2 linked regions of the Mus musculus genome follow. The protein of the gene in region 1 purifies or fractionates together with the protein of each later gene. This does not show direct contact. Links are inferred from orthologs where the notes say so. Each region holds a gene or a part of one and is shown on either strand. Other genes may lie near its edges.

The links.
Region 2: the proteins of Etv1 (region 1) and Cop1 purify together in Homo sapiens (affinity purification with mass spectrometry; 4 studies listed by BioGRID and IntAct, counting the BioPlex papers as one, with this or other methods). This does not show direct contact. The link is inferred for Mus musculus from reciprocal best matches to the Homo sapiens genes ETV1 and COP1.

Annotation. Positions count from the first base shown.
Region 1 is NC_000078.6:38,778,096-38,783,260, forward strand, and holds the start of Etv1 (ETS translocation variant 1), read left to right. Parts: upstream 1-1,986; 5' UTR 1,987-2,326; intron 2,327-2,454; exon of another isoform or gene 2,455-2,620; intron 2,621-2,752; 5' UTR 2,753-2,839; coding exon 2,840-2,884; intron 2,885-3,007; exon of another isoform or gene 3,008-3,114; coding exon of another isoform or gene 3,115-3,207; intron 3,208-3,703; coding exon 3,704-3,791; intron 3,792-5,142; coding exon 5,143-5,165. UniProt on the Homo sapiens protein: Transcriptional activator that binds to DNA sequences containing the consensus pentanucleotide 5'-CGGA[AT]-3'. Required for olfactory dopaminergic neuron differentiation; may directly activate expression of tyrosine hydroxylase (TH).
Region 2 is NC_000067.6:159,230,212-159,235,184, reverse strand, and holds the start of Cop1 (E3 ubiquitin-protein ligase COP1), read right to left. Parts: upstream 2,986-4,973; 5' UTR 2,748-2,985; coding exon 2,335-2,747; intron 1-2,334. UniProt on the Homo sapiens protein: E3 ubiquitin-protein ligase that mediates ubiquitination and subsequent proteasomal degradation of target proteins.

The DNA.
Region 1 (5,165 bases):
AAGCTGGGGAGAAAATGACACGGGGATAAATCCAAAGTAGAAATGACAGCTGCTGAGAGGAGACCGCTGAATAGTTTCTACACAGTGAGACAGCTTACACATTTACACAACCACGTGCTGAAGAGCAAGGAAAAGTTACTAGTCCTTTCTCAGCTTTCTTTCCACTCTCAATTCCCTCCTTTTCAGGATTTTTTCTTAGTCAGGGCACCCCGGGATTATACAATGTGAGAGTTCCATTAGCCTAGACTTACTTCCTCTCTCTCTATTGCTCTTCGATAGAAAGGTACTTCCCCTCCTCTACGGTCATTGGTACCAAGTGTGCAGAGGCGGAAAGCCAAAACAGAAACACACAGACACCTGCGCGCACCTGCAAAACAACAACAACAACAACAACAACAAAAACTTTTGTGGTTTGAGGAACTTGGGCCTTTGTTATGTATTTTTTTTCTCCTTGATCCGCCACGCCCCCAACCACGTGACCCAGAGAGATTGGGATTTTGTGAATGGAGCCGAAAGGTGGAGTGGGGGGGGGGGGGAATGGGCAACGCCCCCTGCTCGAAAGCATCCAATCCGCTGGCGGAGCGCTGCGGGGTCAGCAATAAACAACAATGGACTGGAAATCCACGGTTCCTCATTGGCTTCAGGGACAAGCTCCCGGGGCCTTTCGAGAAGCTCCGCCCTCTCCCGGTTGCTCTGGATACCTGTCCCGCTCTGGCCTCACAGAAAGGCTTTGGAAACTGTTACCGCCTTGTCTGGGGTTTGCAGACTGGCGGGTTACCCACGCTGTGCTCCCCTCTTCGGGTTGCACCCTCACAAAGTCTAGTAGCGTTCGAACGCACCCCTCGCCCGGGCTCTGATACTGTCCTCTCTCAAAGAGGACGCGCGCGGCGCCCTGACTAGGCTTGGGGCAAGCATTGTGTGTGCCCTGGAAGACTACACTTTTCCCTTGGTGAAGCGCAGAGTGGTTTTGTCATAAACTACGCTCTTTCTCGGCGGGTCCGGAGTACCAGGCGCGCACGCTCCCATTTTGATGTTTCCACCATGTTCCATTTAAGGGAAGAAACTTTCAAATAGAAATTGAGAACTGCAGCACATTGCTCAACGGGGCTAAACAGCTGCTGGAAAAGTCCTTTAGTCCCCAGCTCTGGTCCCCGCCAGGGTCTCAAGTGACTTTTAGCACCGTAAAGCCCCGGCCCCACTCCTCCCTGGCTTCCAATTCTTGGTAGGGCAGCGGCTGCAAAGGGGACACATCAGAACTAAGCTCTGTGGGCAGGCAGCTTCAGAGAGATTCTCGCTTCCAAAGGTCCCATCATTGTCCTTGTAACCCGAGCCCTCCCTGCTCTTCCCCCACTTCTTGGTGGAGGAAGTGAAATCTTCAAGTACAGTAAGTGACACCCTCCGCCTCTCTGTATACATAACAAAAGCTCCGGAAACGGCGGGGACGGGGGAGGGGTGCGGGAGGGGGGCATCTGAACTACCAAGTCCTCCCCCACCCCTCTGTGGCCACTGGAGGTTTTTTTCCCTCTCAGCACTCTCCAGGATGAATCTGATTTTTATACTTTCCTCGCCCACTCTGCTACGTACTCCTCCGGATCCTCTCTTCCAGCGCCACCTCTCCTTAGAAGCAGCTTCTCCCGCTTGCTTTCCTTACAATATTTTCATGTCCAACGGACGAAAGGAGATCATTTTTGTTGAAGATGTATTAAAAAAAATCTTATAAGCCCTATTACAGTGTTGAAAATGGAGAAAAAAAATAGCTTGGACCGAAAGCTTCTGAGGAGCAAGGCTGGAGCGTGTGGTGGGTGGACTCCGGGTCAAAGGTAGAGAAAAGGGATTGTGGACACTCGATCTGTACCCCAACCTCTACGACAGTGCTTTAAGGACATAATAATGGACCAAACAACGCTAGGAATGAGAACTGGTTGACTCGATACACTAGGTTTCAGTATCCCTCCGGTTTTAACAAAAACAGCGAGTTAGGAAGGAAGTAGTTTCCCTCGGTGGCTTTTCCTGGGTGCGGACCCTGCGACTTCTCCCAGAGTGGTCGCAAAGGCATAGGGGCGCAGGAGACCCAAGGGAAGGGGCCGAAAGCTGCCTGATTGACAGCCCGAAATCTGATCTTGTGAAAGAGACGTGGAGCCAATGGGAGGCAGCGATCCATCAGTTTGGATTGGAGGCCCCTGGAGGAGAAGTAGAGGAAAAACCACCGAATTCAGCTCTGTCAGAGGCGCTTTCGGCTTCCAAGGGGAAGTGCTGGGCAATAATTAATGTTTTTATTAAATTTGGAGGGAATTTTTTGCAGCCGTTCGCCTAGCGTGGCCTTCAGGTGGGTATTTCCAACAACTTTTTATGTCTCTCCAGATAATTGCATGGTTGTGGGTTGCAAAAACTATTCTTATGAAAGAGGTAGCTCCGTCTCTTTAGTCCCGTTAGGTGAAAAGCAAGTCTCGTTGATCGCCATTGCTAGTTTTGCCCACGTTTGCGAATCAGAGCCGCCTGGGGTACACTGACCGAGCAGGGAGCATCCAGAGTGTAAATAAATACATTGCCTCTTGTTAGGATTTTTGATACGACCGAAAGTATGTAAATTGTGAACTCTCTTGGCTCTCTTTGGATCCAGGTGAAGAAGGCGGCGTAGGGGAGGGTTATTTTTGTGAATGGGGCTGTCGAGGGTAATTAGCTATGCAAATGCAAGAGCTTCATTCATGATTTTTTTTTTTTTAAGCCTAAAAGCCATCTTGTTCCCCTCTAGGTTGATAGAAGTCCAGATCCCGAGGAAATCTCCAGCTAAATGCTCAAAATATAAAACACTGAGCTAATATTTGCGAAGAGGAGCAGAATGGATGGATTTTATGACCAGCAAGTGCCTTACGTGGTCACCAACGTGAGTGATCAGTTCGAAAGTTGCTGTTTATAAACTTGACTTGGACGGGGGTGGGGAGAGCGAGAGATGCGAAGGGAGGGGGCAGGGGGTTGGGACTGCAGACACTTTATCTGCTTTGTTGCCACTGTAGGGCGACTCTGCTTCTAGAAGCCCTATCTACAAAATGAGCTTACCTTTGAGTGATTCGGATAAGGCATAGTTTTGTTTTAAGACCTCTTCTTCTGGTTAATATGTCCACGATGAGTGCAAGAGGAGACGGAGGGCAGCAACAGCTGCACTCAAAGTTTGTGGCTGGGTTTATCTGCCACATTGAAAAGAACGAAGTTGAGACAAATGCTGACAATTTTGTGTTTACATGGGGTGTCTTGGGGGGGGTCTTCCCCCTCCCCTCTCATTTTCTCACTTTTCCCAGTTTTCCTTTGGCTTCTCTTATTACGGGTGGGGGTGCTGTCTGAGAGAATGGAATTCGCTGTTTTAATCTGGAGTTGATTCAGAAAAAAAAAAAAAGAAAGAAAAGAAAAACATTAAGCGTTTTAGCTTAATGTTTTGATGCTGAGATTACATGTAACTAGAATGAGGATAAGCAGGAGTGTTAGGACATGCTCTGGGAAGCAACTCTCCCTCCTCACTGCCTGCCGAACTCTCAGCCTGAGCCTCCACTGTCAAAGTCAGACAATATGTGTTGGAGTTCTCCTGTGAACTTTTTCTTTTCTACTCAGAGAGAGGATCCAGTAGGCTTAAGTTATGTATGCATTTTTTTTAAACGTGTGACATCTGAGGTTTATATTCTTTTAAAGGATTTTATCTTTCCCTTTGTAGAGTCAGCGTGGGAGAAACTGTACCGAGAAACCAACAAATGTCAGGAAAAGAAAATTCATTAACAGAGATCTGGCTCATGATTCAGAAGGTGAGGTTTGATTCTGAGCTGAACGCCTCTTTTTTCACTGATACTTTTTCCCCTCCAAAGGGGGACATCTTAATCTCATCGAAAAAATAGTAGACATTGAAATATGGACTGAAACATGCAACCACTCACACAGTGAGTTTGCCTTGGAGACTATTTTATGGTCTTGTCACAAAAGTAATGAGAGGAAAATAAACACGTAGCAGTGACCTTCTTATTTTAAACAGTATTTTGTGTTCCTTCTTGTCCATTTGTCAGATAATTCCCTGTACTGAGATAACAATTTCAAACTGTAACACCCTGGGATAAAGTAAGCAGCCATGCCTGCTGCTTACATTTTTCTTTCAACTTTATTACAAGTTAAACAATATAAATGAAGCCATATATTATTGTTGAAATTTTATGAGTTTGATGACTGCATTTTGAAGTCATAACATTTGTTGATAGGCCGTAACATGTTCACTAGATCAAACTTAAGGCTTATTGAATACTTATAATATTATTTAGTAAATTAGGCTGTAGATTCTTCTTATAAACTGTTGGTAGGAGGTCAATATACTATGAATTATTTCAGCCCTGTGGGGCCACTCATTATGATTTGAAGAAACTTAGACTTAATTACTAAAGTTCACATTGAATTTAAAATTAAATGGACTGAATTATAAAACTTCATGAAATTTTCATTCTCATTAGACACTTTTCTTCCTACCCCCCACCCTCACCCCAAGTGAGGTGGCAGAATATAATTTGGAATTAATAATAAACCAAAGCAGGACACTAATGTCTTTGACGTTTACAGATCGGCTAAAAAAATTTTTTTTTCTTGAAAGCTTGTATTTGAAGTTGCACCCTGTGTTAGTGTTGAGCTATTTGGCTGGAAAAGGTAACTTGGGAATTAACTCAAGTTCTGTTGGTATTTTGTACATAAAATTCAAGTGTAAATGTCCTGTCTTTCTAATATCTACCCCACTTCTATTTTAGTAAGAGTTAAACACTCTTAGGAAGGGTTTCTGTACTTAGACCATCTTAGTGAATTTCAGTTTTTTTTTTTTCTTTTTCTGAGCTTACTTCTTAGTTATTTTGAAAAAGAAAAAAAAAGATAAAAGAAGGTAATTTGATTTAGTTGCCTAAATATAATATTATTTAGTTGCCTAAAGAAATCTCTTAAAGTGTCTCTTAATTGATGTCATAAGCAAGCAGGATTTATTGAGATACTTGGGATATGAATCCTATGTTCAGTTGACACTCCCTAAATTAAAATCATATTGAATGGCAGTGTCATGACAAACATTTTCATGTGATGAAGCCTACAGACTGTTGAGTCTCATGTTGGTGTGTCTGACTTGCTTTTTAGAACTCTTTCAAGATCTGAGTCAG
Region 2 (4,973 bases), on another chromosome or scaffold:
CTTTGCCTACAAGTATGTCTGTATGCTACTTGTGTGCCGGGTGCCTGTGGGGCCTGGAAGAGGGATTCAATGCCCTGGAGATGGAGTTACAGACATTGTTATGTGGGTGCTGGGAATCAAACCCATCTTTTGCAAGAGCAACAAGAGCTCCTGTCCACTGAAGTCTTCTCACAAGCCAGTAGGCTCAATTGATTTCTTTTAAACAACAAGGTGATGAACTAATAATTTAGTCTTACTCCTGAGCTAGTTATAGAAAAAGTTAAAACCTGTCAACTTAACCACAATCTAGAACCACATGGAAAGAGTTTCAACCAAGGAGCAGTCTAGATCAGGTGGGCCTATTGGCATAGCTGTAGGGGATTGTCTTGATTGCTAACAGACTTAAGAAGACCCAGCCCATTGTGAGCAGCACCACCAGGCTATGGAGGCCTGACTACAGGAGTGGAGAAAGCCAGCTGAGTCACAGGCCAATAAGCAGGCAGGCAGCATGGACACTCCTCCCTCTGCTTGACAGTGGCTAGGACTCTTTAAGCTCCTGCATTGCTCTCTCCACAATAACGAACTGTAACTGAAACTTCCAGCCAAATAAACCTTTCTCTTCTCTAAGTGGCTTATAGTCAAGGTATTGGTCACAGAAACAGAAATGAAAATAGGACACGCCTAATAAAAACAATTGCCAGCTGTACCTCGTTCACCTCCAGTAATACAGGCTACACCACAGACTGTGGTACTCTGAGATAGTTCAACAGTCAGTGCCTAAGTTATCTGTTTAATAATTGAATAATACTGATTTCTCACACCTTTTACACTATTAAACGACCTAAGGATGCTGGCATCTTGGTTTGAACTACAAATAATGGCCAAAAAGAAAAAAGCAAACTGTTTTACTAGTTTCTACCTTATCATGTGACACTATTGATTGGACAAGAATACAAACACCTCACCCAGGCAGTGGTGACAAACACCTTTAATCCTAGCACAAGAAGGAAGAGGCAGGAGGATCTCTGAGTTCAGGGCCAGCCTGTTCTACAGAGCTAGTTCCAGGATATCCAGGGCTACACAGAGAAACCCTGTCTCTAAATAAATAAATAAATAAAGCCAAACAAAAAAAGGAATGCAAACACCTCTTACACCCAACCATAAACTTCTTAAATTACAAATAACCACAGCTATAATTCTATTTCAACACACACACAACTTCTGAATCTAAACAAAAGCAAAATTACGAATTATATTAGTGAACAAGAAAGTGTAGCTAATACCTTTCTCAATGGTTACAATCTCTAAGCTTATCATCTTTAATAATACCATTTAAGCCCATCTTCTACTGTGATCTGAACTAACTTCCCCAAGCATGACTGTTCAAGCCAACTTCCTACATCATTAAGTCAAACAACAAGTTCCTTCTTAGGAAAGGCCCAGAATTCTACCAGTTTGTGAGCAGGAAATCTTCATTAAGCTCTCATAATCTTACCAGTAATATCAAAACCCAATTAAAATTCAAAGCATTCTTCAAGACAATCAGATTCATCTTTTGCTTAAAGTCCCTCTTAGATGCCAAATGCCTGAATTCTACTGTGTCGCTCAAGATGCCAGCTGTGATGCAATGACTGTAAAAGCGTTTCTCAAGTCAGAGATTCCAGTGTATACACAGCGCTGCGATCGTTCCATACAACACAGAAACACTAAAAATGTGTTTCCCTTTTTCCAACAGTTGAAACCTGGAATTGGGTGTGAACAAACTTTGACTACAAAATTATTAACAGTATTACAAGTGTCCTATCTATTCAAATTCATATTCCAACGCAGGATGGGCAAAAATAACTTCGTAAAGCATCACCAACCAGGTTTCGAGCACCATCTACTTTTTTACAATATAGTGTTGACCAGCAATCCCACACCTCAGAATCACCAGGCACTAACTAGTCTTCTACCTCCGAAAATCATGAACTACTCCTGACTGATACTTCGTCCACTAGATGGCCAAAAAAAGAAAGAAAACAAAAACAAAAACCAGAAGGGATTTAACCTCCTACCCCGAATACTTCCTTTCTAATAACCACTTACTGGACCTCCATCTTTATCCTTAAGCACTCCCTTAAATGCCTTCAGTTCCTGGACACCAGCACCCACTTCTGTGCAATCCCATTTCACCACTTTGCCTAAGGATCCCAGTCCAGCTCCACCTCCCAACCGGGAACCTTAACTCTGCAAACACTCAACTCTCTAGGTTCGAATCCCAGCACCTCCAACAGGCCTCCCTCCACGGGACCCCGCCAGGCTCAGCAGCAGAAACTCGTGGTCATGCACGCAGGGGCTGCTATGCAAACCCACCAGACGAAGTCGTTGCTTTTGTCCTCGTAGGAGTTGAGGAGCCCGTTACAAAGCGGGACGAGCAGAGGTCGCTTCCTACTGCTACTGCCGAGGCTGGAGCTGCTCCCTCCAACGCCGGCGCTGGGCCTGGCCGCGCAGCTGAGCCGGGACTGGCCCGCGGACACCGCCCCGCCGGCGCTCGCGCTGCCAGACACCGCGGCCGCCACCAGCACAGGCCGCCCCGGGCCGCCGAGGCCGCCGGAGCCCGCGGCCGGAGCCACGCCGCCGGACACCAGCGTCGCCGCCGAGGCCGCCACGGACGGCGGCGACGGAGACGAGGATAAGGACGAGGAGGCGGAAGTCACCGAGGAGGCGGCCGAGGAGCCGGGGCTCGTCCCAGCGGAACCCGAGCCGGCCTGGCGGCTACCTGACATCGTGACTCCCTCCCTTGGCCCTGCGCTCCGAGGCGAGGGCCCGGACAGACCGCGACCCTCCGCCGCCCCCGGCGCTCAGCTCCCGAGCATCCTGAGGACGCGCCGGGAGACGGGCCGGGGGAACAATAAAGTTAGGCTTCCCACCGCCGCCCCGCCGCCGCGTCCTACGCGAGGGGGCGGGGGAAACTATCACATCCGAGGAGCCATGACTGCCGAGGAGGCCGCCGGGGCAGCCAACCCGGGCGCGCCGAGGCGGTCGGGCTTGCGCATGAGCGGCGGAAGGGGCGGGGCAGCGGAGCAGCTGCGCGCGCAGGCGCCGGCGCCGGCGCCGGGCTGTACGGAGATGCCGAGCGTGTAGTTCTCCGAGTGGAAAGCTGATTTCCTTTCTGACGTAGTAGAGAGATGGCCGTTTTCATGGAGCCAAAGGGTGGAAGGGGAAAGGACGGGGAATCTGGTCTAGTGGACCGGGAACGCTCGAAAAGCAACTGCTTAAGCGTGCCCCGGGTGGACGCTGGCGGATTGCCCAGCTAAAACTGCGGCGGTACGGAGCAGTGGTGTTGCGCATGCGTGTGAGCGAGCGCGCATGCGGCTATGGATTATTATCTGGAAAATACTAAGCTCACTTGTGTTCTCTTGCGGCTTCGCGCTTTTTCCCGATTGTGTGGCAGGAATATAATTTGTTTTCGTTTAGATTTTTTTTTTCTGTTTAGATTTTGAAGTCCTGTTAGGAGGAGTAAGGGGCCAGGGCAGTGAAAAAGGGTTACAAGCCTTAGGTTTCAATCTGAAAGAGCCACAACGTGAGGACTTCCCCACGTTCTGACTCAGGAGAGGCGACACCCCAAAATCACCAACGAGAAACGGTCTTGCTGCAAATTGCAAGAGGATTTTTATTCAAGAGCGCTCTCGGCCCACGGTCATACACCACGCAGGGGTAGAGGACCGTGGCGCCCCGAGTAGCTGGGTTAGGGGGTATTTAAAGGAAGAAACCACAACTTAAGGAGGTGGGAAGGGCGTTGTTGGAAAATACCAAAAATACCAGTTAAGAGTCACAAGGAAGTACAAAGTCACAAGTGTCAGGTTATCTCTCAAGACAGTTTCTAAGAGCCCCTAACAATCTAAGAGCCCCTAGCAATAGCACCTTTGCATAGTGGGTTCCAGCAATGGTCAGGGTGACTTTCTTTGAATTAACACTCTTTGAACCCAGGAAGCTGATGGGTGGAGGAATGTTGATATCTGTTTTATGATTAGCATACCTTGGAGCATTGAGTCACAAAGGCAAAATTCCCAAGCCTGGGCCCAAAGGCCTAGAATTTTGTCTTTATTACTCTTTCAAATCAAACATTTTATAGTACCAGAAATTATTTGCTTCTTGTCCCTGATGTCACTTATCTAAATTATCTCCAACCTTTTGTAAAACCTCATTGATAACTCCGTCTTTGTTGGCATTGAAGCAGCAATACTCGCCTAGTTCCCCTGGGAAATGAAAACTAAGTCTAAACCTGGCCGGTTTAGGAGGACAACTTTTGTCAGAGCCTCTGTCTGGACATGAAGCAGATAGAATTCAACGTGTCTGATGTCTACCAGTCTGATGATGCATCTGTTGTAGGCTCCTTTATCCTCTGATTAGGGATACAGTACTTAGGGCTACTGTCCTTATTCCTTCTGTCACTGGACCACAGAGAGCGGCAACCCAAGGGGGAATAAGAGATGGGCACCTTATGGTCCTGGATAAGCATACACTTGGAGTATATACATAAAACTGGATTATTATACACATTCCTAAGTGTTGGGAATTAAATCGCTGTAAATTTGGAACAGTTGTTAGAAACTCTGTACTCGTGAAATAATCCACGCAATATAGTTACTGATAATCACACCAATTAAGCATATTAAAAGTTTTAAGTCCTTTTTATTGATGGCCAGATGGAGAGTGGTCTCATATCTTTGAAAAGTCTCTTGGTGCTCTAGTTGAGGGGTACAGAGTTTTTAAATCAAAACCCACAAAGACCATAATTTACATCAAAGTTAGAGGAGAGTCAAGTAACTTTGAAACATTTATTTCTGGTAGAGCATAGTAATTATTTTAGATATAACATCAATTATCATTTAGTTTATTTTTGAGCTCTTGGAGCAGTTAGGTCCATTTTAGCTGACTCCTCTCATTGGATTTGTCTATTCAAAGACAAATATGGATGGGCTGGCTTACTGGTACCAGGGAAATAGAGA